Astyanax mexicanus: one gene and its partners. The protein of the gene in region 3 binds, or shares a complex with, the protein of the main gene of each other region. Links are inferred from orthologs where the notes say so. Each region holds a gene or a part of one and is shown on either strand. Other genes may lie near its edges. The genes, in order: mybl1, lin9, lin54 and lin52.

Evidence for each region.
Region 1: lin54 (region 3) and mybl1 share a complex: the UniProt entries of both Homo sapiens proteins name them as parts of the DREAM complex. The link is inferred for Astyanax mexicanus from reciprocal best matches to the Homo sapiens genes LIN54 and MYBL1.
Region 2: lin54 (region 3) and lin9 share a complex: the UniProt entries of both Homo sapiens proteins name them as parts of the DREAM complex. The link is inferred for Astyanax mexicanus from reciprocal best matches to the Homo sapiens genes LIN54 and LIN9.
Region 4: lin54 (region 3) and lin52 share a complex: the UniProt entries of both Homo sapiens proteins name them as parts of the DREAM complex. The link is inferred for Astyanax mexicanus from reciprocal best matches to the Homo sapiens genes LIN54 and LIN52.

The regions. Positions count from the first base shown.
Region 1 is NC_064408.1:97,493,630-97,501,232, forward strand, and holds the start of mybl1 (myb-related protein A), read right to left. Parts: upstream 3,012-7,603; 5' UTR 2,509-3,011; coding exon 2,486-2,508; intron 431-2,485; exon of another isoform or gene 306-430; intron 1-305. UniProt on the Homo sapiens protein: Transcription factor that specifically recognizes the sequence 5'-YAAC[GT]G-3'.
Region 2 is NC_064408.1:79,656,641-79,664,426, reverse strand, and holds the start of lin9 (protein lin-9 homolog), read left to right. Parts: upstream 1-4,773; 5' UTR 4,774-4,818; coding exon 4,819-4,849; intron 4,850-7,115; coding exon 7,116-7,148; intron 7,149-7,285; coding exon 7,286-7,377; intron 7,378-7,786. UniProt on the Homo sapiens protein: Acts as a tumor suppressor. Inhibits DNA synthesis. Its ability to inhibit oncogenic transformation is mediated through its association with RB1. Plays a role in the expression of genes required for the G1/S transition.
Region 3 is NC_064427.1:22,631,330-22,639,317, reverse strand, and holds the start of lin54 (protein lin-54 homolog), read left to right. Parts: upstream 1-4,970; 5' UTR 4,971-5,161; intron 5,162-7,074; exon of another isoform or gene 7,075-7,343; intron 7,344-7,988. Other genes in the region: cops4 (COP9 signalosome complex subunit 4), read right to left, coding at 1-50, 723-826, 957-1,108, 1,891-1,970, 2,955-3,028. UniProt on the Homo sapiens protein: Component of the DREAM complex, a multiprotein complex that can both act as a transcription activator or repressor depending on the context. In G0 phase, the complex binds to more than 800 promoters and is required for repression of E2F target genes.
Region 4 is NC_064421.1:48,536,471-48,544,429, forward strand, and holds the start of lin52 (protein lin-52 homolog), read left to right. Parts: upstream 1-4,951; 5' UTR 4,952-5,026; coding exon 5,027-5,045; intron 5,046-6,350; coding exon 6,351-6,425; intron 6,426-6,564; coding exon 6,565-6,602; intron 6,603-7,138; coding exon 7,139-7,205; intron 7,206-7,348; coding exon 7,349-7,432; intron 7,433-7,959. Other genes in the region: pomt2 (protein O-mannosyl-transferase 2), read left to right, coding at 138-289, 740-831, 908-984, 1,077-1,148, 1,232-1,291, 1,958-2,074, 2,181-2,286, 2,757-2,897 and 2 more.

The DNA of each region.
Region 1 (7,603 bases), on a different chromosome or scaffold from region 3:
TCAAAGAAGACAATGTAATTGTCAAATTTGTATGTTCTCTACTTTTTATTGTCAATAAAGTACTGAATTATTACATTACTTTACTACTTTTTGGAAAACATTTAGTCTTTAAATAAACTTATAAAGTTTTAACATCAACAGCACACTTGAACTTGATTCCTTTTGAAAACAACATTCAAACCTAGTAACTGTGGAGAAACAGTTTCACCCCCGCCCCTCTTCAGGAGGCACACAGAAAGGGGCAAGGGTAGACACACACACACACACAGCAGTGCATTCATCCAGAAATTACGTAATAGCCAAACCTTAGTCTTTAGGCTCTTCAAACAAACCCTCCATCTCTCCCATTCAATAATTTCCATCACCTTCCTTGGACAACACCAGTCACCCTTTACGTCTTTTAATGTACTGTATATATACTACTGTATTACACTGTGTGTAATGAAGCTAGGCCTCAGCAGTTCGTTTTACATCCTATGAAATTAATTTTGAAAATAAGATGAAACATAATCTTTGATTTTGCACCATTTTACATATGAGAACATATTCTTACTACATTAATTTTACTTTCTCAAGACATGTGTTTTGATGAAACTTTTTTGAAGCAGCTCTTTGAAGTACAAAAACAAGTGCATGATGTACAACCAAAGCTAGCGAACCAGAAATAAAGTATCTACACTTCTTTAAAAACATTAATATAGGGGTTGGCCACATGCTGCATTTTTAACATAATATTGTGGTGCATCACCATGCCAGTTTTTGAGCACATTATACATGTCAGCAACGGAATGTTTTATTATAAAGATAGCATACCTAAAAATGAAAAATGTAATAATACAAATAAATGTTTTATACTAAAAAGCATCACAGCTCATCCAACTGGCTGGAGTGTAGCCACTATGAACCACTGATATAATCTAAAAAAATGTACTTTAGTAAGAAACCTAGACTATTTTTGTGTGGAACCTAATATTAGCTAAAGTAAGATGTGCTCTAGTAAGAAACCTACAATGTTTTTTGTGGAATCTTCTAGCAGCTACAGTAAGAAGTGCTTAATAAGAAACCTACAATGTTTTTTTGTGGGTAATCTTCTGGCAGCTATAGTAGGAAGTATTTTAGTAAGAAACCTATACTGTTTTTTGTGGAATTTTCTAGCAGCTATAGTAAGAAGTGCTTTAGTAAGAAACCTGCAATAAAAGCTACAGTTTAGTAATAAACTGCAAATATAAACTAAGGAAGTAACTGAATGACAGATCAGTGACAGCTCAGCACTACACAAGCACACAGCCAGAGAGCTAGCGTTAGCTAAGCTAACCTAGCTATTTAGCTTAGCTAGATAGTTAGCCAACATTAGCAATTAACAGGTAGGTTAGGTTAGCAAAGGTTATACAGCCCCTGTGTGTAATGATGTAGCTTATCACACTGTTAGGGACATGGTTTCACAGCCCTGGATTAAATAATGACTATCTTAGCTTTAGCTTGTTAGCACTGGCTAGCTAGCATTATCCAAAGTGTGGCTAGCTAGCTTAGCAACTAGTGTCAAGGAAACGTCAGGCTGCTTTGTGTTTATTAGTGTTAGCCATATTATGATTATCTAGCTGTAAAAGCTGATTATCTAGCTTTTATTGTAAGATCAGAATTTAAAAAGTTGTTAAACTAGGTTTAACTAGTGTTAAACTAGATACTAGTTAGGTTAGCTTCTGCATGTAATACTGTATTAACCCATTAACAGGCCAGGATTTGTGTAATTACATTTTCTGCTTGACATTACACCACTAAATCTTGAGGAGTTCTATACAAGCATTACATAAAAAAGGTTTCATGTTTGATAAAGAACTTTACTAAAAAGCACAAATGTAATTGTAATAGAAAATATTGACAAATATTTAAATATATCTGCTAATGTCAAAATATAACAAATAAAATCATAAAATTAGCTATTTCCTGAACTTCATTCTAAAATCATTATTTTCCTGAACACAAATCAAACATTTCATGTTCTCCAAACCTTTAGTTTTGTTATGTTTTTCTAGTTTTACGTCTATTTTTAATCATGCAGAATTTGGGTTGATTTTGTTATTGATCTGGGATTATTAAGTGGAATAGAGAGTGAACAGGCAGCTTCTCAAAGTGTCCTGTAGGAGATTTCAAATAAGTTATTTTACTTCAGAAAAAAATGTGTTTTATATAATCTACACCTGTAGCCTGTAGACAGGACAAGGCATGTTAAAGAGTTAACTAACTAGCTAGCTTGACCCTAATGTGAACAGTGTTAGGGCATAGCAAAATTAGCTTCTATGTAAGTTAGCTACAGATCCAGTCAAGGTTATTGTATTCTAGTGGGTTCAGGTCTAATGAGAGTTGGAAAGATAAAGAAGAGTAATTCTACATCATGACACAAAACACAGAGAGTAAGAAGTCTGATCATCATAGCTACAGTCTGAGTAGTTAGTTAGTTAGCTGAGTATCTGAGAGTGTCTCTCACCTGCGGGACTTAATGTTGGCCATGTCAGATCCGGTGCTCTCTGTAAGTGACAGGGTCGCTTCTTATCGAAAGTAAAACGAGTCACAGGAATAATCCACAGCTGCAGTCACGCCTAAAATCCAAACACACCAGGATCGACCTCACTGACATTTATCCGGCCGCTCGCCGCTTGTCAGACAACTGTGTATCTTCTGTCCTCCTGCATTAAACTCGCTGTAGCAGCTTTAGTCAGATTATAATGTTCAGTCCTCCAGTCCTGTTTCAGAAAAACCGCGCAAAACAGAACAACACAATAATACACAGCTCCCTACACCCGCTGTTATAATCACCGCGCTCAGGCTATAGTTATAATCCTGTACAGAGGTGAACGGGCAATGGACGGGTATCTACTGAGAAACATTATAACCTAGCTAGCTATCTCTCTGCCCCTGTGTGTGTTTTGCCCGCCTTGTCTCCAGAAGCTCGCCCTCCTCCTCCTCTTTCTCGCTCCTCTCTCTGCTGATTTGTGTGTCCCGCCGAATCGCGCGCTCCTCCTCCTGCTGCTGCTCAGTTTGAATCTGCGCACGCGGCCTCGCAGCTGATTGGTCAGAAGCCGCGCCGAGTCAGTGGCGCCTCCACGCTCCGCGCGCAACAACACATTTACCGTCAGTGTGTCGTACATTCCCTGTCAGCTTAACACACACTCACCACTCACTAATCACCCACTCAGCACCACGTTATAATTTTAAGTGTAGTAATATTTTCATTTCTTATGCATCCACCATGAATTAATACATTTACCATAATTTTACCACATGTTCATTATCAATTTATAATTTCTTCTAATTTCTCATGCACTTAAAATCAATATACCACATATTCACTAACAACACATTAACATTTTAACATTTCTTATGCACTTAGCATCAATATACCACATATTTACTATTAAGTATCAACTTACCACACCATAATTTACCACAATTTTCACTCTCAGCTATCAACTAACCGCACATTTTAACATTTCTTATGCACTTAGCATCAATGTACCACATATTCACTATCAACTAACCACACATTAACAGTTTAGCATTTCTTATGCACTTAGCATCAATATACCCCATATTAGCTATCAACTTACCACACAACAACATTTTAGCATTTTTTTTGCATTTAGCATCAATATACCTCATCTTTACTATCATCTTACCAACATTAACATTTTAACATTTGTTGTGCATTTAGCATCAATATACCACATATTTACTATCAACTATCAACGTACCACACCACAGTTATTCAATATCAACCATTAACTTACCGCACATTTTAACATTTCTCATGCACGTAGCATCAATATAACACATATTTACTATCAACTGACCACATAGTAACAGTTTAACATTTCTTATGCACTCATCCGCAAGATACCACATATTCACTATCAAGTCACCACATTTTAGTTATTATTCACTGTTAATCAGTTTATAATAAATAAACTTTCCAACCATCAACTTTACAGAAATTCACAATTAGTTTATCGTACATGTTCATATAGAAATTGTACTTTCTGATATGTTCAGTTCAGAAAATAGTACTGTAAGAGTAATTAAAAGCATTAAAATGAATGAATTCACCATATGAACATGTCTATCCTATATTATATGTCAATCCTAATTGTATGCAGATCTGAGCTGTGTGAAGTGGTGGAGGATATTTTTCTCGTGATGTTTTGTCGCCCTCGTGTGGACAGTACAGGACTACTGCTTCAGAAAAAGCACACCCAGTGGTTACACTAGTTTGTGTAAAAACCGGTTTGTATAAAATACACAGTAAAATTGTCATAACAAACAGCACTGTGCACGACTGTGTTTTGCACACTTAATGTGTTTAGGAAACAAATTTATTGTCAATATTCATGGAATATTTATGGAATTCGTGAAAGAGGTGGCATATCTTCCTAGAAATTCCCTCATGTCACAATTAGATCAGTACATGGACAAAAGTGTCCTTTCCATCGTGTCAAAATGTTATAATTACTTTAACAATAAGTAATTCAAAATTATTTTTAACGAATCATTTTAAACAAATGTTTCTCACTTTTGGAGATACTCCAACATGCTCATATGGGGCTCACATGTCCTAGGTGGTTCTCAGGTGGTCATGGGCTCTAAGTGGGTTTTTGTACATGTGTTTTATTGGAACCCAGTTGGAACCCGTCCTCACAGCACACGTTAATCTCACATGGCCTCTATGTACAGAGAGTACAACCCAGATGTGGCCCATGTTTAACCTCTCTGGACCCATCGCTGACCTTGATGGGGCCCACCATTGACATTTATATGTGGGGTCAACATAGAACCCATGGACAAAGCTTTCTGGTTCCCAGTTGGACTACTCATACAGGCCCCACATGGGCATGTTATATGTATGAGTTTTTTGCTTGACAATGGAAGTGTCATATTTACATCAAAAATACATAAAAAACTTCTGTGATCTTGTACATGGTTTTGGTATGTATGTTTAATAGTATGTAATATTAAATTCTGTATTCTGTAAGTGTACAGTGTATGGGTGGTCTGTGTACACTCATACAGCGCACACTATATATACTACACAGTATACATTCCATTATTTTTTTTGCCTTATTGTTGAAAAGTTAAATTGTCATTTACAAATATAGAAGAAAGCAAAAGCAAAAATCAAAACCAGATAAATATTATGGCAGAGGGTCATAACAATTCTATTTGTTAGAAAAGATTTTAAATAAATATTTGTTTACAATTTCTACTATTTATGACAGACCACACAGAATGTTTCTTTACTCAGCCAGTTGTATTTGAAAATCATCGTACTGGGAAAATCTAATTTACTCAAATCCTAAGCCATGGCATCGATTCCTAACTTTTTTTTTATTTATGATTCTTTAGTGCATATAAAACAAATCAGAAAAGCTAAAAATACATAAATACGTCTTCTGTTAAAGAACTGTATCAAACTATATTGATAATTTCAGTGTGTGACTTGTATACCAGCTATATGTTTATGTGTATAAGTTTATATATGTGTTTAACTTTGTCATCTTTTCAGTAATGAATGTCTTAATGTCCATTACAGCTGGGCGATATGGTGTTAAAATAATATTTAATAATATTTTATGGTATTTTCGTGATAACAATACTGTTGGCGATATGACAAAACACTGAATTTGAATGAAAAAAAATATTTAAAGAATACACCACTGCAACAAAATTAAAATAAATTATATTATTGCAAACGATATGATATGGCACACCCCTAACTGAAAAAAAATACGAGAATTTTATCAGATTTTAACAGAATTCAATGATCCAGAATATCATGATATTAATAATGCACTCCAAATATCTTCATATATCCAGGATTAAAGTAAAATGAATGATAATCTGTCTCTAGTAGATATAATGGGAAATGGGAAAACAGTATGATATAATGTGGTATAATATCTTCCATAATATACAAATATGTTGGTGATATTATTGCGTACGATGCGATATGGCACACCTTTAATTTCTATGTATTTTATTTATTTTTTAGTTTAATTTGTGTACTGTTACTTTATTTAAAAAAAATGCATTTAAAACAATACAACCACTCCCTGTACATTCACTGTTAAATATAAATAAATGATAAATAAATAAATCATTATTTAAAAATAATAATAGTTAAAGTTAGAGTCGGAGGAGGTGAGGTGTAGCGGAGTAAAGTTAGTTTGATATTCGATATTCAGCGGAGATTCGCCTTTCGGCCGTTCTCTTGCTCGCAGGCAATGTCCTAAACTCTCCCAAATTACATTTTCCAAACCACAGAAGAACAGAGAACAAACTACAAACGTCAGATTTTCTGAAAACACCCAACCTTTCTGTTTCTCCGAGAATATTTACTGAAAATGGCAGGAATCGCTGCAGCGGGCGCTGAAGCTGTTAAGGGACCGTCTGCAAAGTACGGACCCTGATTAAAAACGTAAACATTCACAGCTCCGTTTAATGCATTTCTACTGTAACACGCCCATATGAAATATAGATAAAAAAATCATACGTAGTCTTTAGAGACACACCTGAAAAATAACTACAACTTTTATTTTTGAAAAATATGATTTGGTTGATTTTATATTAATTTTTTAATAATAAAAATTGCTACTGTACTGCACTAATATGAAATATAGAAATAAAATCACTTGTAGTCTTTAGAGACACACCTGATAAACATACTACAACTTTTAGTTTTGAAAAATATGTCTCGGTTGATTTTATATTAATTTTGTAATAATAAAAATTGCTACTGTACTGTACTAACATGAAATATAGAAATAAAATCACTTTTAGTCTTCAGAGACACACCTGATAAACATACTACAACTTTTAGTTTTGAAAAATATGATTTGGTTGATTTTTTATACATTTTTTAATAATAAAAATTGCTACTGTACTGTACTAATATGAAATATAGAAATAAAATCACTTTTAGTCTTCAGAGACACACCTGATAAACATACTACAACCTTTAGTTTTGAAAAATATGATTTGGTTGATTTTTTATACATTTTTTAATAATAAAAATTGCTACTGTACTGTACTAATATGAAATATAGAAATAAAATCACTTTTAGTCTTCAGAGACACACCTGATAAACATACTACAACTTTTATTTTTGAAAAATATGACTCGGTTGATTTTATATTAATTTTTTAATAATACAAAAATTGCTACTGTACTGTACTAATATGAAATATAGAAATAAAATCACTTGTAGTCCTCAGAGACACACCTGATAAACATACTACAACTTTTAATTTAAAAAAATATGATTTGGTTGATTTTCTTTAAATTTTTTAATAATAAAAATTGCTACTGTACTGTACTAATATGAAATATAGAAATAAAATCACTTGTAGTCTTTAGAGACACACCTGATAAACATACTACAACTTTTAGTTTTGAAAAATATGACTCGGTTGATTTTATATTATTTTTTTAATAATAAAAATTGCTACTGTACTGTACTAATATGAAATATAGAAATGAAATCACTTGTAGTCTTTAGAGACACACCTGATAAACATACTACAACTTTTAGTTTTGAAAAATATGACTCGGTTG
Region 2 (7,786 bases), on a different chromosome or scaffold from region 3:
AGTTAAAAACCTGACAGAGTTCCTTCTGATCTGAGATCAGCTGATCATCCACTAAAGCCCTGGTACGAAAGGGATTGGAGTTCTTTTTAAGGGAATTTACATTTTTCCAGAAGTTCTGGGGGTTTGTGGAGTTGGAGATTAAGCTAAGGTAGTATTCTGATTGAACTGGGTTGAACTGTAGACTGTATATAATAATATTACAGTCTGTAAGGGGGTTTGAACTGTAGGCTGTATATAATAATATTACAGTCTGTAAGGGGGGTTGAACTGTAGGCTGTATATAATAATAATAATAATAATACAGTCTGTAAGGGGGGTTGAACTGTAGGCTGTATATTATAATAATAATACAGTCTGTAAGGGGGGTTGAACTGTAGGCTGTATATTATAATAATATTACAGTCTGTAAGGGGGTTTGAACTGTAGGCTGTATATTATAATAATATTACAGTCTGTAAGGGGGGTTGAACTGTAGACTGTATATAATAATAATAATACTGTAAGGGGGGTTGAGCTGTAGGCTGTATATTATAATAATATTACAGTCTGTAAGGGGGTTTGAACTGTAGGCTGTATATTATAATAATATTACAGTCTGTAAGGGGGGTTGAACTGTAGGCTGTATATTATAATAATATTACAGTCTGTAAGGGGGGTTGAACTGTAGGCTGTATATTATAATAATATTACAGTCTGTAAGGGGGTTTGAACTGTAGGCTGTATATTATAATAATAATACAGTCTGTAAGGGGGGTTGAAATGTAGGCTGTATATTATAATAATATTACAGTCTGTAAGGGGGTTTGAACTGTAGGCTGTATATTATAATAATATTACAGTCTGTAAGGGGGGTTGAACTGTAGACTGTATATAATAATAATAATACTGTAAGGGGGGTTGAGCTGTAGGCTGTATATTATAATAATATTACAGTCTGTAAGGGGGTTTGAACTGTAGGCTGTATATTATAATAATATTACAGTCTGTAAGGGGGGTTGAACTGTAGGCTGTATATTATAATAATATTACAGTCTGTAAGGGGGTTTGAACTGTAGGCTGTATATTATAATAATATTACAGTCTGTAAGGGGGTTTGAACTGTAGGCTGTATATAATAATAATAATATTACAGCCTGTAAGGAGGTTTGAACTGTAGGCTGTATATTATAATAATATTACAGTCTGTAAGGGGGGTTGAACTGTAGGCTGTATATAATAATAATAATACAGTCTGTAAGGGGGTTTGAACTGTAGGCTGTATATAATAATAATAATACAGTCTGTAAGGGGGTTTGAACTGTAGGCTGTATATTATAATAATATTACAGTCTGTAAGGGGGTTTGAACTGTAGGCTGTATATAATAATATTACAGTCTGTAAGGGGGTTTGAACTGTAGGCTGTATATTATAATAATATTACAGTCTGTAAGGGGGGTTGAACTGTAGGCTGTATATAATAATAATAATACAGTCTGTAAGGGGGTTTGAACTGTAGGCTGTATATAATAATAATAATACAGTCTGTAAGGGGGTTTGAACTGTAGGCTGTATATTATAATAATATTACAGTCTGTAAGGGGGTTTGAACTGTAGGCTGTATATTATAATAATATTACAGTCTGTAAGGGGGTTTGAACTGTAGGCTGTATATTATAATAATATTACAGTCTGTAAGGGGGTTTGAACTGTAGGCTGTATATTATAATAATATTACAGTCTGTAAGGGGGTTTGAACTGTAGGCTGTATATTATAATAATATTACAGTCTGTAAGGGGGTTTGAACTGTAGGCTGTATATTATAATAATATTACAGTCTGTAAGGGGGTTTGAACTGTAGGCTGTATATTATAATAATATTACAGTCTGTAAGGGGGTTTGAACTGTAGGCTGTATATAATAATAATAATATTACAGCCTGTAAGGAGGTTTGAACTGTAGGCTGTATATTATAATAATATTACAGTCTGTAAGGGGGGTTGAACTGTAGGCTGTATATAATAATAATAATACAGTCTGTAAGGGGGTTTGAACTGTAGGCTGTATATAATAATAATAATACAGTCTGTAAGGGGGTTTGAACTGTAGGCTGTATATTATAATAATATTACAGTCTGTAAGGGGGTTTGAACTGTAGGCTGTATATTATAATAATATTACAGTCTGTAAGGGGGTTTGAACTGTAGGCTGTATATTATAATAATATTACAGTCTGTAAGGGGGTTTGAACTGTAGGCTGTATATAATAATAATATTACAGTCTGTAAGGGGGTTTGAACTGTAGGCTGTATATAATAATAATAATACAGTCTGTAAGGGGGTTTGAACTGTAGGCTGTATATTATAATAATATTACAGTCTGTAAGGGGGTTTGAACTGTAGGCTGTATATAATAATAATATTACAGTCTGTAAGGGGGTTTGAACTGTAGGCTGTATATTATAATAATATTACAGTCTGTAAGGGGGTTTGAACTGTAGGCTGTATATTATAATAATATTACAGTCTGTAAGGGGGGTTGAACTGTAGGCTGTATATAATAATAATATTACAGTCTGTAAGGGGGTTTTAACTGTAGGCTGTATATTATAATAATATTACAGTCTGTAAGGGGGTTTGAACTGTAGGCTGTATATAATAATATTACAGTCTGTAAGGGGGTTTGAACTGTAGGCTGTATATAATAATAATAATAATACAGTCTGTAAGGGGGTTTGAACTGTAGGCTGTATATAATAATAATATTACAGTCTGTAAGGGGGTTTGAACTGTAGGCTGTATATTATAATAATATTACAGTCTGTAAGGGGGTTTGAACTGTAGGCTGTATATTATAATAATATTACAGTCTGTAAGGGGGTTTGAACTGTAGGCTGTATATAATAATATTACAGTCTGTAAGGGGGTTTGAACTGTAGGCTGTATATAATAATATTACAGTCTGTAAGGGGGGTTGAACTGTAGGCTGTATATAATAATATTACAGTCTGTAAGGGGGTTTGAACTGTAGGCTGTATATAATAATATTACAGTCTGTAAGGGGGTTTGAACTGTAGGCTGTATATAATAATAATAATACAGTCTGTAAGGGGGTTTGAACTGTAGGCTGTATATAATAATAATATTACAGTCTGTAAGGGGGTTTGAACTGTAGGCTGTATATTATAATAATATTACAGTCTGTAAGGGGGTTTGAACTGTAGGCTGTATATAATAATATTACAGTCTGTAAGGGGGTTTGAACTGTAGGCTGTATATAATAATAATAATACAGTCTGTAAGGGGGTTTGAACTGTAGGCTGTATATTATAATAATATTACAGTCTGTAAGGGGGTTTGAACTGTAGGCTGTATATTATAATAATATTACAGTCTGTAAGGGGGTTTGAACTGTAGGCTGTATATTATAATAATATTACAGTCTGTAAGGGGGTTTGAACTGTAGGCTGTATATTATAATAATACAGTCTGTAAGGGGGTTTGAACTGTAGGCTGTATATTATAATAATATTACAGTCTGTAAGGGGGTTTGAACTGTAGGCTGTATATAATAATATTACAGTCTGTAAGGGGGTTTGAACTGTAGGCTGTATATTATAATAATATTACAGTCTGTAAGGGGGTTTGAACTGTAGGCTGTATATTATAATAATATTACAGTCTGTAAGGGGGTTTGAGCTGTAGGCTGTATATTATAATAATATTACAGTCTGTAAGGGGGTTTGAACTGTAGGCTGTATATTATAATAATATTACAGTCTGTAAGGGGGTTTGAACTGTAGGCTGTATATTATAATAATATTACAGTCTGTAAGGGGGTTTGAACTGTAGGCTGTATATAATAATATTACAGTCTGTAAGGGGGTTTGAACTGTAGGCTGTATATAATAATAATATTACAGTCTGTAAGGGGGTTTGAACTGTAGGCTGTATATTATAATAATATTACAGTCTGTAAGGGGGTTTGAACTGTAGGCTGTATATTATAATAATATTACAGTCTGTAAGGGGGTTTGAACTGTAGGCTGTATATAATAATATTACAGTCTGTAAGGGGGTTTGAACTGTAGGCTGTATATAATAATATTACAGTCTGTAAGGGGGTTTGAACTGTAGGCTGTATATTATAATAATATTACAGTCTGTAAGGGGGTTTGAACTGTAGGCTGTATATTATAATAATATTACAGTCTGTAAGGGGGTTTGAACTGTAGGCTGTATATTATAATAATATTACAGTCTGTAAGGGGGTTTGAACTGTAGGCTGTATATAATAATATTACAGTCTGTAAGGGGGTTTGAACTGTAGGCTGTATATTATAATAATATTACAGTCTGTAAGGGGGTTTGAACTGTAGGCTGTATATTATAATAATATTACAGTCTGTAAGGGGGTTTGAACTGTAGGCTGTATATTATAATAATATTACAGTCTGTAAGGGGGTTTGAACTGTAGGCTGTATATTATAATAATATTACAGTCTGTAAGGGGGTTTGAACTGTAGGCTGTATATTATAATAATATTACAGTCTGTAAGGGGGTTTGAACTGTAGGCTGTATATTATAATAATATTACAGTCTGTAAGGGGGTTTGAACTGTAGGCTGTATATTATAATAATATTACAGTCTGTAAGGGGGTTTGAACTGTAGGCTGTATATTATAATAATATTACAGTCTGTAAGGGGGTTTGAACTGTAGGCTGTATATTATAATAATATTACAGTCTGTAAGGGGGTTTGAACGGCCCTCTCCTGAGTCTCTGTCCCAGAATGCTTCGCGTCATTCGGGCTTTGAAAAGCGGCGCGGCTCCTTCAAGATGGCGGAGCTGGAGCAGCTGCTGGACGAGAGTGAGTAGTAAACCCGGGCTCTGCTGTGGTCTACAGACCGCGTTTCAGACTATCTTGCGGGCGGTTTGTGATTATAAGCGGTTGGGGGCTTGTTGAGGTCTGTGTCGGGCTGTGAAGGCGCCGGGTCTCTGAGCTGTAGTAACTTCACCTCAGTGCTAGTTAGCAGCGATGCTAACTGCTAGGTGCTAGCTGCTAGCCGGGCTAGCCCCGGCTCAGAGCTATAAATAAAGCAGTTCAGCTGTACTTTCTCTCCGACCCGCCGGTAAACAGAGTGATTAGGACTCTCCCGGTGAGCGGAGCGGCTGCTCGGGGCTGGGAGGAGCTGGGAGCGGGGCTGGGTGTTTGTGTGTTTGAGAGCCGGGGGGCTGTGTGAGTTGATCCCGGTGTCTGAGGGGCTCTGTGTGTCTCTCTGATCTCCGCAGGTCGGTGACAGCTGCTGCTGCTCGGCTGTGTAGCTAAAGCTCTTTATCAGGGGGTCACTCTCAGCTGAATACAGATAAACAGAGATAATGGTGCTCCTAACTGCTCTTAGATTCCTTGTTCTCTCACTAAAGCTCTTTATAAAGCGCTGTTTTTCACCTACACTGCTGTAGGGTCTCGTCTGTAGGTTACGCTTTAGTTTGTTAGTTACGTTAGCTGTGGCCGGTGTTATGGCAAATTGTGCTACCTTGTCAAATCGTGCTACTCTATTTAACTCCAACAATACAAAAGAAGCACCATATTAGAGCATTTTTTTCAGTAGCTGTAGCTAGTTAGTATATTTGGATAGCATAAATTACTGTATCATGGTAACATTATGGCAATGAGAGGTCTTTTAAAATCTGCTTTTGTATATGTATTTTCTTTAATAATAATTATTGTATGTATTATTCATTTCCATTTACACTATTGTGCAATGAAAGTTAGTCCAGGTTGTTTAATGCACAAAAACTCCAAACAGATTTATAATGAAACACGAATTTTTATTTTCTAATAAGATCTATTATATGTATTATTAATTTCCATTTACACTTTTGTACAATGAAGGTGAGTCCAGGTTGTTAAATGCACAGAAAAAAACAGATTTATAATAAAAAAAAACAGGAGAAATATACATATATTTAAATAACAAGTATTATTATGTATTATTAATTTCCATTAGGTCAGCGCATGCGTAGTGTATTTAAGAAGCATGTTTCGATGAGTAGCGCATCTCGACGGAACACCCCCGGTTGTTTTCTGGGCTGTTAGCTCTGGAGTATCAGTGTAGCTACTCTGTGTCTCTCTGTTTTTATAATGTTAGCTAACGTTACTGTGTGCTGGAAGTCTTGGCTGTGCTAAAATCAGCTCGAAATCAAACTGTGCGAGCCGTTATTAGTCACAGTATAGGTTTATTTCTTACTACAGGTTGTTAGAGGAGCAGCTGGCACACCTTACAAACACACACAGCCGCCTGTCCTCCTCATAAAGGGTCCATTTACTTTACAGCAGCGCTGTAGCTACAACACCCAGCCTACAGGTCTGACCAGCTAGCTTATTAGACCTGTTAAGAGGGTAGTAGTAGTAATAAGAAATTAATAACAATAGTGCTAATAATAATAATGCTAGCCAATATTTACATTTTTACTATGTAATCCTATTAGATTATATTTATGTCTCAGAGTAAGAGGATTTACTTCAAATGACAAGTAAAACCGACAAGTAAAAAGTAAAAACTGAGATGCCCAATAATATTGTAATTGTAATTATAGATCACTTAAAAAAAAGAAGACAAAAACAGAATCTAATAATTTAACATGCTGCGAACATATATTTAATATCTTTGCTGAACATAGTAGGTAAAGCTATATGCAAAAATGAAGGTTTCCAAGTTCTAATTGTCTTTTTTTTGTTTGTTTTGTTTAATGCATAACTCCAGTTTATCATAATTATGAAATGTGCTATGCAGAAATTATGGCATTTTATTTTATTTCTTCCCAATTAATGGTAACATTTTATTCCAGAAATATTTTTGCGTCTAAGGGATTTAAAACAGTAAACCCATCCCCTGAAGTTCATCAGGTATTAGGTGCTAATTTATCTAGTCAGTTTGCCAAAACCTTGAGTTCCAAACATGATTCAAAAATGATATAGCACCTTAATATCAGGTGCTAAATTTAATTGCCCGTTCTAGTGTTTATATGTTTAGCTGTAAACATGTATCAGATTTTAAAATCTTGTTCTACAGATCACTGTTTATTTTTCCTGTTTAGAGAATTTCTTTTTTTTCCCCCTATTTTATTTACAGGCTCTTCAGCGAAAGCTCTTGTCAGTCTTAAAGGTAATTGCACTTAAAGGTTTAATATTTCTAAGCAGCTGCATACATATGCAAATGCAAATAAAGTAATTATATTAAATATGTGATTACTGTTATTCAGTTAACTGCACATTCCTCTTTGCGGTTATATGTCTTTGTAGAAGGAAGTTTGTCAAACACTTTAAATGAGAAAAACAACCTACCAAAATCTCAGAACACCAGGGGAAGGAGCAGCTACACGTCTATGGAAACGGTAAGTGGCTTGTCCGGTTGCTTGTTTAAATAGAAATAGACTAAGTTTTATTTGCCTGATTATTTAAGGTACACTTAGATGACCAGGCAGACGTACCATAATGAGTCCTGTTTCTTGTATGTGGAGCTGATGTGCGTGCATGCATGCTGATTCAGGGAAAGATTGTTTACATTACAGGCATGTTCCACTTACATATATAGATATTAATCGTCAAGTTGGCCAAATCTGATCTGAGTTTAAAGAAAAACAAATTGATTTGAGATTTAACATGAACATAGTCTTTGGTTATATTTATGTGGTTGATAAATTATATAGATTAATGTGTGCATATTTGTGGTTTGGTATGCATGTCTCAGTTTTGTTGTCTTGTTTTGTTTGTTCTGGATATATTTAAATACCCATATTTGTA
Region 3 (7,988 bases):
GGCGGGCAATCTTCAGGTAAGTGTCCAACTTGTAGTCGACATTATACTGTCTGAAAACAACCACACAGGAGACTATTATTTTCAGGCAGCATCACATTATGTGCAAACTATAGTATTTGAACTGTCTTAAATTCGTTGGTTTCTTGATGCCATAAAACTATTGCATTTACATATTGAGTATTTCAGACTGGACTACGTTTTTATCAAGGCACAATACATGGGAGCAGTGATCAGAAGAAATCCCTTATATTTTTACGATATTTAAGTTCATCTTGCCACTAAATGATTCACAGAAAATTTAATTCAGTAAAATGTAACAAGAATTTCTCATTTTGAAGAAAGTAGTAGAGATCTTGTGGGCTACTTTAAGGAACAATGATTCTACCAGATTTCTCCTGGATGCCCCCAACCAGCACCACAGTGGATGTGTTCAATTCTGTGAGTAGCTCAACTGTTTTACCAAACTAAGTGTAGATGTGTTGATATTGTCTATAAATAATACAAGACTCTCATCTTGAGAAGAGCTTTGGAGTTATTTTAATATACACATTTTTTTTGTAAATGTAAGATTTTTTTATGTAAAAAAAAGAAATGTATTTGTATTTATCCTAAACAATATTATACTAATCAACACTTCAATTCTAAGGTTTTGCTTTTCAAATGACACACAGATCATGGGAATAAAAAAAAAATCAATTCAAAGGTAAGGTAGACTGACTTACTTCTGTCCTGTCTCCAGAGGTATACCCACTAAAACCTGTGCAGCATTTCTCCAGTCCTCTTCTTTCTCATATATAGTGGCTAGATGCTGTCTGATTGAAGCCACCTGAAAGAAATAGGAAGGTTTAATGTAGCACTCTTGCTAACCAAAGTATAATCATTATATAATAAATATTGGTGAAAACAACATGAGTGTGCATGTTTGAGCACAGTACTGTATAATTGTCCAAACGCACCTGCTCTTCAAAGGAGATAACTCTTGGCTGAATCTTCTCCAGTGTAAAGTGGTAGACAGCTTTAGCTGTGCTGTCGGGTAAATTTGGTAGGTGTGTGCAAAAGTCAGTGAGTAGCTGCCTGGATATCACCAGACTGACATTTTCATTGACCACTGCAGAGGAAGAAGACAACAGAAACATCTCACAGCGAGAAATATATAAACTTGGTGTACCAGAGGTTAAATAACAGCTAAGGGTGTTTAACACCTGAAAATCCAGAGCAGAGTCCACACCAAGGTTTGCGTTTTTGTTACATTAGATACGTATGGTCCGGTTAGTTTAAGTATGGTCCGTCATCATCACCTACTTGTAGTAAATCTCCCTAAACTTCACATTAATTAGTTTGTAGAATGTTGTTACTTCTGTGAACTGCTTTTCCAGGTGCTGTGCCAAAGTTTACCTCTCTACCAGAATTGAACTCTCCATCGCAGAGATAAAAGATTCCCCTCGGATTGCTTTCATTTCTGTTTATAAATAAAGCTTAATCTACAGTTACAGTAGATACTGGAATCACCAGCGAAAGTGTTTGCATCCATGTGTCTGCATGACGTGCCTGCACGCCAATGACACGCATTTCAGCACAACACCAGTTCTGCCTCAGCTTCCAGTAATTGGTCCAAACGTTTGAAACCATCTAGAAGTGTTTACACACTGAAGATGGACCAAACCATTAATCAGTATATTTTGTCCTTTGGACTCTTTGATCTGTTGTTTGCAGACCCTTTCACACGTTGTTATTTTTTTTTCTCTTTTTTCCCGTTTAGTGTTATTGCATTTCAAGTGAAATGCTCCAAAATGACTCTTTTTAAATCTGAGAATGTTTGTCCTTCTTCTGTGAAAAGACCATTTAAAGCTACAAGGTGTTCTCTAATGAAATGTGTGTTGGAATACTTACTGGCTTCAACAAATGCTTTCAGTGCCTCCAGTTGTTCTGCATCTGTGAACTGTATTGCCTTATCCAGAATCTGACGATACCTACAATAAATGCATATTATACATTAAAAATGCAGTCCGAAAACCAATATACTGGCTTATCAGCTGTTGTTTATCTGTACACTTTTAAAGCTCTCAGTGCCTCATTTTAAATGTCAGAATTGTACCAATAAAGTGCGGAGCTACTTTGAGGTTTCCAGCTGGCATTTCAATGCTGAATCAATGTTGATGCATACAAATTATGCAACTAGCTAACTATCTAACTATATAACTAACTTAGTGAATATACACAGCTCTGGGAAAAACAAGAGACCACTTAAATATGATGAGTTTCTTTGATTTTATCAAGTTAAAAACCTCTGGAATATAATCAAGAGATGAATGATCACAAGCCATCCATGGATGATCACAAGCCACATTTATGCACCAGGACTGGCATTAAGTAATCAAAAAGCAGTGTGTAAGATTGGTGGAGGTGAACATGCCAAGATGCATGAAAACTGTGATTTAAAAAACAGGTTATTGCACCAAATATTAATTTATTAAAATCTTTATAGACTATATAGATATTGCACGTTAGCCAGAATTAGAATCAACAAAGCTACTTAGCTTAGCATGCTAACAAGCTAACAACCATGCAGATAGGTCTGTGGTTAACTAGGTGCAGATACACTGTAATAAAATAAACAAAAAGTGTCCGAGTATAACGATTATTAAAAGCTTATATAATATGTTTTTTTGTAAAAGCTAGCTTTCACAAAAGTCGGAGTTCTAAAAAAAAATAAGCTCACCGGCTTAGCTATGGTAGCTAGCTAGTTAACTCCTCGATTAGCATTAGCATAAGCATAAGCAGGCTCCTACAGTTAGCTGTTACAGTTAGCATGAGCGAGTTAGCTAGCATGTAGCTGCACCTTCTAGCCACGTCCTGGATCTATATTAGCTATATTAAACCCGCTGTAATAAAGCTGCTGGGCTGGATCTGCACATAAGGGAATAATAAATAAAAGCCGCAGTAGAAATCCGTACTTTCCAGCGAGGTCTTTGTGAGATCCGCTGGAGTTCATCAGCTGGGCGAGCTCCTGCCGCACACCGGACGCCATCTTCCCCAATACACAACAACCAGCAGCGCGGAGATCTGATTTCTGACAGGCCGAAGGGCAGCGCACTCTCCACGGGGTACAGCACCACCAATGGCCGGTGTTCTGTCGAGTTGTGCTATCTTGTCAAACCGTGCTACCCTCGTGTATATTTAACTGTAAAAATACAAAAGAAGCACCATATTACAGCATGTTCACAGTAGAAGTCCCAGTAGATGTCGCTGGCTAGTATATGTATTTGGATAGCATAAATCACTATATCATGTTAAGGTTATGGCAATGAAAGCTTTTTTAATAAAAATAATTATTGTATTTATTATTATTAATAATTTTAATTCACACTTTTGTGCAATGACAGTGAGTCCAAGAAAACAAATAATATATTTTTTATATAAAAAAAACACGAGATCAAAAAGTAAAAGTAAAAAAGTAGGTCAGCGCATGCGCAGTACCTTTAAGAAGCATATATCGATGGGTAACATAACTCGACAGAACACCAGGCCCTCCAATCAATTACCCGATGGTGGCAGGGACTAGGCGATATGGTAAAATAATAAAATCGATTTTCGATATTCTTCAAATATATATGAGTGATTAGATTTTTTAGTTCTTACATATCAACTCAATACAACAGATTTGCCAAACTAATAACAAGGAGCAGAAATTTCAAATATGCACATTCATACTAAATTCATAAATAACTCATAACTACCTATAATATAACTAAACATATAAACTAAATAAAAAAAAAGTCTTCAGAGGAAAAAGGTATGACCCCTATACATCTGGATTGCATTTTACAATTTTTCACACTGGTGTTTGCTTTTCAGTTTGGCACTAATTCCACTTCATACCCGGCCAAAAAAAACTTAACTAAAATGGCAAATAGCTTTTTGACATTTCATTTTACCTCCCAAATAATAGGCGGTATATCCCCATTTGCCTGACAATGAAATTTGAAATGTTTTTCCCACTCCTCCATGCAGAAGTCTTTCTGCTGTGTGAGGATTCACGTAGTTTTCTGTACAGATGGCCTCACATTCTTAAAGACCAATTTATATTTCTGTAGCAAACCTATGCCATACCCTATGCAGACCCTACCCAAAAGTGTAACAGTGCACTGTGCGATGCGGACAGCAGCAGCTGTGATTGGTCCTCTGAGTCGTTACTAGTTAGGGTTTAGGGAGGGAGTAGTGTGGAAGATGGGTTATGAATATGCCATAGTTATAAGTTAGGGTGTAGTAAGCAGTTGTATATGTGGCACTGGGAGTTGGGAGTAGTGTGGAAGATATGTTGTGTATATGGTGTAGTTAGTAGTTAGGGTGTAGTGTATAGTGAGCAGTATATGGGTGTAGGGAGTAGTTTGGAAGATACTGTAGTTAGTAGTTAGGGTGTAGGGAGCAGTTGTATATGTGGCACTGGGTGCATGGAGTAATGTAAAAAAGTATGTATGTATGTATGTATATGGTATTGTTAGTAGTTATAGGTGTAGTGTAAAGCAAGCAATGAAATGGGTGTAGTGAGTAGTGTGGAAGTAGTGTTGTGTAGTTAGTAGATAGGGTGTAGTGTATAGTAAGCAGGATATGGGTGTAGGAAGTAGTGCGGAAGAAGTGTTGTGTAGTTATTTAGTGTAGTTAGTAGATAGGGTGTAGTGTACAGTGAGTAGTATATGGGTGTAGGGAGTAGTTTGGAAGAAGTGTTGTGTAGTTATTTGGTGTAGTTAGTAGATAGGGTGTAGTGTATAGTGAGCAGTATATGGGAGTAGGGAATAGTGTAGAAGAAGTGTTGTGTAGTTAGTAGAAAGGGTGTAGTGAATAGTGAGCAGAATATGGTTGGTAGTTGTAGGGAGTAGGGCGTAGGGAGTAGCGTGGAAGATGAGACACTAGAAGGAGCCAACTCCTGCGCGCGGGCGTTCCCTGTAGACGTAACACGCGGGTTCCCATGGAGGCGGAGCCTCATTATGGGATGTTAGGGGTGAAATGGCGCTCGGCGCGGTATTTTAAACAATCGGATCTGTTTCGGGAAACGTAGCGAGAGAAAAGCGGTGCGGGGCCCAGCTGTACCGGACCGGACTGGGCCGTGCACGAACACGGCGACAAGCGTCCACATTCCCGAGGAAGCGACCGTAATAGAACTGTAAGATTCCCGGTGCTGAGCTGCGGGTTTGGGGGGATCGGAGCGGGTTAGCCGCCGAGCTAACAGCTGATATGCGCTGTTTAGGTTCAGCAGGGCGGACTTTCTGTTCAGCTGCGGCTTCGCTGTAAAACTGCTGACACCCTGAATAGAAGTGGCTCAAAATAGAGCTGCAGACCACTGATTAATGTTATAGGACTATACGATTATAATATAAGTATATATCAGTTAATTTACAGTCTAATTGAGGGAGGAAATTGTGACATTTTTTCTGGTAGCTTAGCTAGCTTAGCTTAGCTTAGCTGAGTTGACAGTAATGACAGCAGCTATTTAGTGAGTTAGCTATAGCTAGTTAATGTGTTTTTTCTGAAACAGGAGGGCTATATTACATTTAATTAATGTAATATATAACATTTTAACCCCTTAATAGTGTGAAATCGAGGCAATTATTTTTATTGATCTTTTATTATGATTGATTAACTAATTAATTAAAATAACTATAATGTTACTAGGTTAGAGCTTGAGAAGAATCAGATTTTTTTTATTTGTGCTGTAAACTGATTGTATTGGTAGCTTAACAGAATAAACTTACAAGTTTAGTTGCATTACATCTTTTAAGGTTGACAATGAAAAAACAACCTTAAAATAACATTTATTTATCATTGCTTAAGGGGTAATTTAAGATTTAAAATATTTGAGCAGATGAGCTTTTCAACACTTTTCTTCACTGCAAACCATAACATTGATTCAATGCATTAATGATGAAAGGTGGAATGTATTTTGAGATTAATAGCTGGCATTAGGTGTTTTTAAAGAAATCACCTGGCATTTAAAAATATGCTAACATGCGGCAAAATATGTGTCAATAAGAGCATGCATTATGGTTTGAATAATAATCAAGCTTATTTTAATCAAGATAAAATATAATAAGTTTTGTAGCTAGTGCTAAGCAGAACCGATGCTGTGCATCACAAATTTTTAGGTCTGCAACGAATGATTATTATGGTATTCAACTAATCTGAATTATTTTTTTCAATTAGTCAACAAATATTTCTGCTATGTCCTCCACTTCTAAAAACAATTAAAACAGCTGATCATGAGATTTAAAAGGAATTTACGTGTCTAAATGTTGTATAAATGTAAAAAGATACTGACACTTAGTGAGTAAGTATGTAATCTGTTGTGTTTGGGCACTTTTGGAGTTGAGCATAAACTGTTTGAGTGAGACATTTATCCATCTCCCATTGCGTTTCTGTCCCCAGCACTTGTGTAATACGGCACTGTTGCAAATGAACGATTAGTCGACAATAACATTTGTAGTCAAATCAACATTATCGAGTTTATTGACTAATCATTGCAGCCCTATGATTCTTAACATTGCAATTCTTTAGGGTATTTTTGCAGTAAGGATATTCTTGCAGATATGAGCAAACATTGTTTTTTTTTGTTAAATTATTTTTTAAATATTTTACTTATTATAAATGTAAAGACATTATGTAGAAAAACAACTCTCTAAACTTTTGTCTGTAATAACTTACCCAGACTTTAACCAGATTGTGTATGAAACAATATAAAGTAATATAACAACAAAACTCTACAAGAATACTAATGTGCAGATTATTTATAGATTATTAAACTACAAAAAGTGCAAATAAACTGAACATTTTTGCTATTTTCGCAATATTTCGTTTTTGTTTTAACGTTTTTTAACCACACCTACTCTGCATACTAGCAAATAAACTATTGTAATTGTTTTTTTATGTATATATTTTTTGCACGTTTGAATATGCTTTTTAAACTCTTTACCTCCACGATAATCCCACTAAAAACCCACCAAAACTAACCAAATCCCACCCAAAACGCACCAAGCCGCTCCGCTGTTGTTTTTCTCGCGTCTGGAAATGAACTGATGACGAGTTGAAAATGGCGGATCTTTCGAAATCCAACCCGGGCCTGAAATAGAAACACAGCCCCGCTGCCCGCTTTCCGCAGGGCTCTTCATCACCACACCTCGCCCTGTTCAGCCTGGATATGTGTACTTTTATATCGACTAATGATTATTCAGAGAATGCAGAGTAATGTCGCGATTTATGTCATTTAAACAGGAGCAGCGCTGCTGAAAAACATTAACGCTAGCTGCCTGACTCGCCTTTCTGACCAGCACTCACACTCACAGAGAGAGGAGGTAGGACACAAACTGTAATTTTTTTGTTAGTTCTGAGCTGATTAAAGAGACCTAAACCGTATATACCATAAGATTACATCCAAATAAGCCTTTAAATAATACTTTAAACATTCACAGGCACCGTATTTTATATATGTTAAGACCCTTAGCTTTAAAACAGCTAGAAAAACAAAGCCTCTGGTAACTAACCTAACGTTACTGCGTTTAGATATAGCGTCAGGTTGGTTAAGCTATAGAATTAATTATTTAACTAGCTAGGAAGTTAGCGTTAGTTTTAAGATCAAATTTCAGGAATTTACCAGCAAACCAGTCCGTGTTTCTTTAGCCAGAGGCTGTTGGCTCCTACAGTTTTATGTACTGAAACCTATAACCTAATGTTAGGTTAGCTAACCCTGCTAGGTAGGTAAGCTAGCCACACAAATATTAGCCAGCCCTGACAGCTCATCCCCCTTTACAGCCCTGTTAATGTTAATCTGGTTTATTTCCTAATCCACACAAGCAGAGAGTTATTAAGTAAAAACGGTGTCTGTTTTAATAGCGCACCATTCGCCAAATAAGCACCTAGTTTTTGGCCAAAAAACAGTTCTTCTTGAATCTGTACTATTTCTATTTCAGTTTGTTTACTTGCTGATTAGTAACTAACAA
Region 4 (7,959 bases), on a different chromosome or scaffold from region 3:
TATAACCGACATATCTGATGATGCCAGGATGTAGCTGTAAGTTATTTAGTGCATAACTAATACATTAACCATGGTTCAGACATTGGTCTGGACATTTTCTTCATTATTAGTCACTTGGCATGTTTAATCTCTTTCAGAACGGTACAGGGGACCTCAATGACCTGTGGCAGGTGGAGGTGTGTGGGGGGAAGAAAGGTGATCCGGTGAAGGTCCTGCGCAGTAAAGTCCGCTTCCTGCATCGCTCCACTGGCTGTGTGCTGTTTTCCTCAGGAAAAACCCTCCCAAAGTGGTGAGTGCATTAAAAATGGTGCTGAGGAGGAAAAGATCAGATTTACAACATTTAGTTAGAATTACTACAGCTTAAAGAAGAATTACTGTATTTTCTGCACTAAAAGGTGCACCGGATTATAAGGCACATTATACAACACTAGTAAGAAACAGGGATGTCGCCATGTTTTCCTTTTAATTCAGCAGATCTGACCACTAAACAGTTGTTTTAAACTACAGTTGCTACATAATGGTGCAAATTTAAGGTCTGTCCAGTAGGAACATCTCTTTACAGATTTGACATTTGGATTTACTTATCTGCTAAACTGAAAAATTCTTTTGTGAAGCATCTGTCTGGGATTAGGAATAGCAGTTATGTTCAGATATTTTAGGAAAACACTAAAGAGTTTGTGACAGAAAGGTCACAAACATTGAAAAAATAAAAATGTTTTATCTTTGTAATGTTTTAAAGGGGCTGGGAGCAGGTGGAGGTCACTTGTAGTCCATATTTAAAGGAAACTCCCAATTCCCAGTGGAACATTGAGGATCACATCAACCCCAATTGTAAGTTCTTGCAACTTAACCAACATATCCAATTTCTTTTTGATTCTTTATTATACTTTTCTTTCTCTTTATCTAGTGCCCAACATCAGTCTGCATGTGCTCAAACCTTCCTTCCTGGAGATTCTGCTGGAGTCTCATATTGTCATGATCAGGGTAAGATGAGCCCAGAAAATTATCGGTCACATTTGATGAAGTTTTAATAAAGTGTTTTGTGTGCTGAGGCAGTTTTATTGTTTTTCTAACAGGGTAACAGTGGCTTAAAACCTAAGGACAATGAGGTGAACTCTAAACCTTGGCACTGGCCCATCAACTATCAGGTAGGTTCACCTCAGAGGAATATAACAACTGACTTTTATTGTGGAAATAATCTAAAATTTATTCTTTGTTACTGTGTGTTTAGGGTTTAAGGTTTTCTGGAGTGAATGAGACGGAGTACCGAGTGTATCTGCTGGGGAACCCTGTGAGTCTAGTTCTGTCCATGTCCTTATTTTTTCAGTTTTTAATGACCAAGATACTTGTAAGTTAGAAATGTTTTAAAATAAAGAGATTTTTTACACTAATAACAGTCTTTGCAATGTCATATGTTACTTTACAACATGTGTAATAATGCCCTGCTAAGTGCAGTTCAGCCACTGACCTAGTCTTAGAGTCTCTGTAAAACACCAAATCCACCGGAGATCCTATTTAAACCTATAGATACTTACACACAGAGGTGGGTAGTTTAGGTCCAGAAAGTAAAAATCCACCCGGGGTATATTTTTACTTTTAACTAGTGGAAACAGAACTATTCTAAATATACACCTACTTATCTCAATTGTACTTGGCTGGTGGTGTCTTTCCTCCATAGACTAATTCTAACCATTTGTTTCTTAGCTCTGAATTACTGGGTAAAGTATATAAACACTGATGTGTTATTCGCACAAATAACACAGGAATGAACTACATGCTGTTCCTAGTGCTGTTAGCTCCTCCTATCTGACGAGACGGCGTTGCTGCCTGGCTTGAGCTCTGCCTGTGGGCGGTCCCGAGCCGAGGTGGGCGGGGCCATGAATACTAATTCACAGGTTGATGTAGACACGGTGCTTTTCCTGATCGACTCATTTTTCGGAATATTTTCTTTTACTAGCTGCTGCAGACAATGAGGAAGAGGTTGAGGAAGAGTTTCATCATGTGCAGCATTATAAACAACTCAGAGAGACCTGCTGTATTTCATAAAGAACAAGAACAAGAGGATTTTAGTGGAGTGAAACCTTTAACACATTTAATAAGGCTGATATTTAAATGCAAGTGAATCGGCAGAAATCTGCATGATGACCTGAACCTGACCTGACTCTCTCTCTCTACTACAGGTGATCTGGTGGCTGAACCTGTTCAGTCTGGGGCTGTTTGTTGTCATGGTGTCTGTGTGCTCTTTGGCCTTACAGAGAGGAGCTAAATTAGAGGGAGAGAGAAAAGGTAGGCGGTTAACTCTTCATAGTGGTTCAGTGTTAATCAACATATTAGATCCTCTCATCATTAATAGTAGTTCATTCCTCATATTTATGTGTGCTTTAAACATTCTTTTTTTAATTGGAAATGTTCTACACATTCTTAAATCTTTTTCACAATTATTCCAAATATTATTTAACAGGTATACATCTATTTTTAAATGAGTTCTTACTTTTTGTTTTTTAAACACACCTATTCCTCCAAAGCCATATTTGCTCTCGTTTTATTCATTCTGAATCCAGCTAGGAAGTAAATGGTTTTGTGCTCTGTGCATAAAATGTAATCATTTTTATCTTTAAAAGTGCAGAAAAATAAATATTTAAATTGACTTTTGTTTTAAATAGTTAACTGTTTTAAAAAATGTATTTAGTGTTGTGATATGTGAATTTGCTTAGTTTAAGGTTTTTACTGTGTTTGTTTGTTTGGTGTTTTTGCAGCACATTGCCGGGTTATTTTAGAAGGTGGTGGGATGCTGTTCCTGGCCTGGCTGCTTCACTACCTGCCCTTCTACAGCATGGGCCGTATTCTCTACTACCACCACTACTTCCCTGCTGTGCTCTTCAGCAGTATGCTTACAGGTACAGAAAACTGAGGACATACTCCTCCAAACAGAATAGTAGTGGTTTATGTGATAATATTCTTCTGTGTTGTTCTGCATTTTAAAACCCTGTACCATTCATAAATGTTTTAATACCAAACACAAACTTGTGAACAAAATTTGTGATTTTTTTTCTTCTTCTATTTAAAGGAATAACACTGGACACATTTCTACAGAATGTTGACCTTCTATGTAGACCACCGTATTCAAAGTATATTCTAAGAGGGGGTCAGACGGTTCTCCTGGTCGGCATCCTCTACAGGTGAGAGCGACAGCAGGCTTTATGATCGTCACAGTTCTTACAAAATATCTGTGAAGGCAAAATAAATCCTTTAACTTGTGTTAAACTTAAAAAATCTTTAAGTTACATTAATAAAAGATTGTTATATATTTTATAATTCTGGGCCATTTAATTGAAAAGTTAATATGCTGTATTTTTTGTTAGAATTCATACATAAGCAGCTCTGATGATTTTTGGGAAAATTAAAGGATTTTAAGTGCAAAAAATACGAAAAAGTTTTATAATGGCTGTTACTCGTATATTATTTAGTCTATTTTTTTCTGTTCTTTTTTTTTCCATTAATCTTTGTTTTTTTTTCCCTCTATTTGCAGCTTCTATCTGTTCCACCCTCTCTCCTATGGCATGAGGGGGCCGTTAGCTCATGATCCCTCCTCCTCCATGGCCGGACTCCGGTGGCTGGACTCCTGGGAATTTTAAAAGAAATAAAAATATCAGGGGATCGTTTTGTTTAGTTTGTTTGTTTGTTGTGAAGTTATTAGTTTATTCACTATTGAGCTGCTAAAACTTAGTGTGTTACATTTCACCCTTTAAGTATTCAACTCCAGTTTTACTCAAAACTATGTGTTTTGTGCTTGTTTTATTGTGTTAAATCTTTTTTCGTTTTTTTTTTTTTGTTCAGTACACTGCATATTGGCCTGGTTAATATAACTAGTGGTCCACATCATTTCATTTATTACATTACATTAGATAAAGGTAAATTAGAATGTGATCAGTGTTCTGAAACACTACATAATCATTATTTACATATTTTGCGGTACTTTTATTATTATTTTTTTGTTTTGACTTAAGTAAACAATCAAAATAAAAAGTGCCTTTTAAATGAAGTGTTTAAATAGTGAATTAAATGGAGTAAGACGGAGTATTAGAGTGTTAAAATTCACTATCATTTTCTGACTGAAATTATAAATCTTGTAAGTGTTAAAGTGTTAGTTATGGATTCTAGAAAGCAAGAAGCAAATAGCAGTATTGTTTTAGTTGGATTGATGTGATCTTTGGATTGATGTGAAATGGGAGGTTTTACTGTGTAAAAAAAATTAAAGTGTTTTTAAGAATGTTCTGTCATGTTCTATTTCTCGCTGGTACTGATTATATTGTGGAAACACATCAGACTTTTAGGAAGGTATATTGTAGTTAGCAAGTCACAAAAATCATGGTTGTATGGCTGTGTGAACATGCCAAATCCAATTTTTCCAAATCACAAAGCAAAAGCAAACCGCCTGTCCTTTTTTCATTTCCTGGACCTGAGCATGAACTTCAGAGCAGCTGTTTACTCTCCACTCCAGCAAAAGATGCTCCACATATGAGCTGCAAACTCTACATCTATAACCCTTTATAAAGCTACGAGTCTCTTGTCTCTCTAATATGAGGGTTTTTGTTGTTGGTGAAGAAGAAGGCGTTTATACAGGTATCAATGTGCAGCATGTGAGACGATTCAGGAACAGATTCTGTGTTCACATTATACACAGATACCGATCACTTATGGAGCCAAATCAGGGACAAAAAACTAAATCCAAAAATAAAATCTGCAACTAAAATTTAAGATCTTAAATATCAAAATACACAAGTAAGTGAAAATTTAAATAACAAAAATTGTTTAAAACAATTTCCAAATCGAATCAAAATTATATATGAGCTGAAAAAAAATTTATACACTTATTTTTGTTTATCTAAATGATTAAAATATGTGTTTAAATGTGAGACTACATTTCCCGGAAGTCTGTAGGTCACAAGAGGCGGAACGACCCACGTCAGTCGCTTCACATCTCACTAACGATTGGCTACAGGAGGTCACGTGTGTGGTTGTGAAGATGGCGTCTCCGAATGGAGGTAAAATTTAATTCCTGTGCGGGGATGAGTTTGCGGGGTTATTGCGGGGCTGTAATGCGGGGTGGTGTGTGTGTGAGATGGTCGGGGTGTGTGAGGTGCTGGTCGGTACTCGGTGAGCGGAGCTCCGCGGCGCGGAGGTCCTGCTAACGGACTGTTTACCTACAGACCGACCGAGCGCTCCTTCACCTTTACACCGGGACAGCGACCCTCAGCCCGGCTGTGTGTTAGCGAGCGTTACCCTGCTCTAACGGAGCCCTAAACACCGGGTTCACCTGTAAATTATTCTTCTAAATAAGCGACTAAATACTGTTGTTCCACGTTACTGTGTTTAAAAACACGAAGTGAAACAGGCGCAGGATACATATTTTTCTTTTGTTATGTTTATAATGTGTACTAGGGCTGCAACTAATGATTATTTTGGTAGTCGACTAATCTGATTATTATTTTTTCGATTAGTCGATTAGTCAACGATTATGTCTTCCATCTCTAAAAACTATAGAAACAGCTGACCATGATGTTTAAAAGGTATTTAAATGTCTGGATCTTGTTAAAACGTGAAGAGTATTAATATTTAGTCAGTAAATATGTAGTCTGTTGAGTTTAGGCACTTTTGGAGACAGACTTTGGAGAGACAAAGTAAAACATATTAATTATATAAATTAATATTAATTGTTAATTTATTAATATAAATTATTTGTTTCTGGATTCTAGTCCAGATGATCAGAAATCATTCCACGCTTGAGTCTGATTCTTGCTATCTAGATCAATGTAGATTATATTTACAGTCATTTATAGCTTACTGGATCAAAGAAATTATATAAAAGCGTCAACATGTCTAAACCATATACTTTAATATCAGACAAATATAACCTGAGTTAATATAAAAAGCTCTTTTAAACGAGCATTTTATAGGAAAAAAACTATCCAAACTAATCAGGCCCTGTGTGAAAAAGTATTTCACCCTAAATGTAATAACTTGGTTAAATCACTCTTGCCGGTGCTTTTTATTAATGTTTACTCAGGTTATGTTTTTCGGATATTAAAGTTTGTATGATAATTGGAAAAATATCAGACAGTGATTTGAAGTGAGAAAATGATCTCACTATGATATTTACAATAACACAAAATAAGTTGCCAGAACCAACAAAATGAAATATATGGATGAATGTAGAAAACCAACATGTTTTTTTTTTTTTTTTACAGGTTTTGATTCATTTCACAGCATTTAGTAATAATTTGAGTTACTGAATATATGGTGCACCTCTTGTTTCACAGTTAAATTTTCTCCACCTTTTTTTTTTATAGGTGAGGACTTTGAGTCCTCTTTGCTGAGCTATGAAAAGCTTGACCGAGCATCACCTGACCTTTGGCCAGAGCAGTGTAAGTTGCTGAATTATGACAAATGTTTTGTCATTTTTTTTTATTTATATATTTTTTAAAGATATGCTGAGATTGAATATGTTTCTGGTCTGTAGAAAGTATTGTCATATTTACTTCTTTAATGTTTGTTTGAAAACAGTGCCAGGGGTTTCAGAATTTGCAGCCACCTTTAAAAACGTGAGTATTGTCGCTCTACATTACTTGTTAGTATTTTTCCACACTATTAGGTGCGCTTAAAATGCTTTAATTTTTCTCAAAATCATCAGAGCTCCTTATAATCCGGGGTTCCTTATGTATGAATTCTATCAGTCAGGTATTAAGGAGCAGTAAAGACACTCCACTGAAGTACAGAGTTATACAGGAGATTCAGTTTAGTTCTCCAGCACTGAGACTGGAATAGCATTAGCATTAGCCGCTAACTGCAGCACTAGGCACTAGCTCTTTCACCACTTAGAGGTGAGTATTAACAAACTGTAGCCTGCTGCTAACCCTGGCTAGCACTAGCTGCTAATGCTAATGCTGCTGCACTCAGCCTTAGTGGAAATCTACCCAAATAAACAGTTTTTAAGAGAGGAATCTGTGTAAAAAGGGGTGAGACCTTTTAATTTAGAAGGAAAGCATGGTGACACCCCTGTTCCTTACTAGTGTTGCATAAAATGCGCCTTAAAATTCAGTGCGCCATATAGTTGTCTGATGTCTTTTTGTTTCTTCAGCCAATCACAAACTCTCCACCCAAGTGGATGGCAGAACTGGAATCAGAAGACATTGAAATGCTGAAAGGTACATTTTGATTTAATAGCATCAATGCATAATATTAGGTTTATTCATATTTTGCTTTGACTAAAAACTGCACCTTATTTTTGTCTCTTTATAATTGTGTTAATAACTGTGTTTTACTGCAAACTTTTTTTGTTCTGTCTCAGAACTGGGGAGTCTGACCACAGCTAACCTGATGGAAAAAGTTAAAGGACTACAGAACTTGGCGTATCAGCTGGGCCTGGAGGAGTGTAAGTAGATTAGTATCTAATTTAAACTAAAAACCAGAACACAATCATCACTCTCACTTTGCAGAACCTTAAATATTATACTTATTAATGCCAGTGCTGATTTTCGCCTCTAGATGGCGCAACTGATTAAAAAAACATAAATAATTGTTGGAACTGAATTGGAATTAAAACTGTGAAGTTTTAAAACATCTAAAATGTAGTTTTTCATATTTAAAGTCCAAAAAATCCTTGAACTGGACGGGAGCTATTTAATTATATCAAGGGCTTAATGAATATCCATCTATTTTTACACTATAAGGTGCATTATTCCACACTAGTAAGGGACAGGGGTGTTTTGCTTCTAATTCAGCATAAAAAATTCTTCATTCAGTTATAAATCTAAAGTTAAGTAGACAAAAAACTGTGATTCTTACAAAAAAAAATATTTTGTTTTTTTAAGTAAACAAAAAACAAAAAAAATGGAAAGTGAAATGTCTTCCACACTTCATTAATCTAGTGTTTGATTTCTGAGTTTGTTGGTGGGCTCT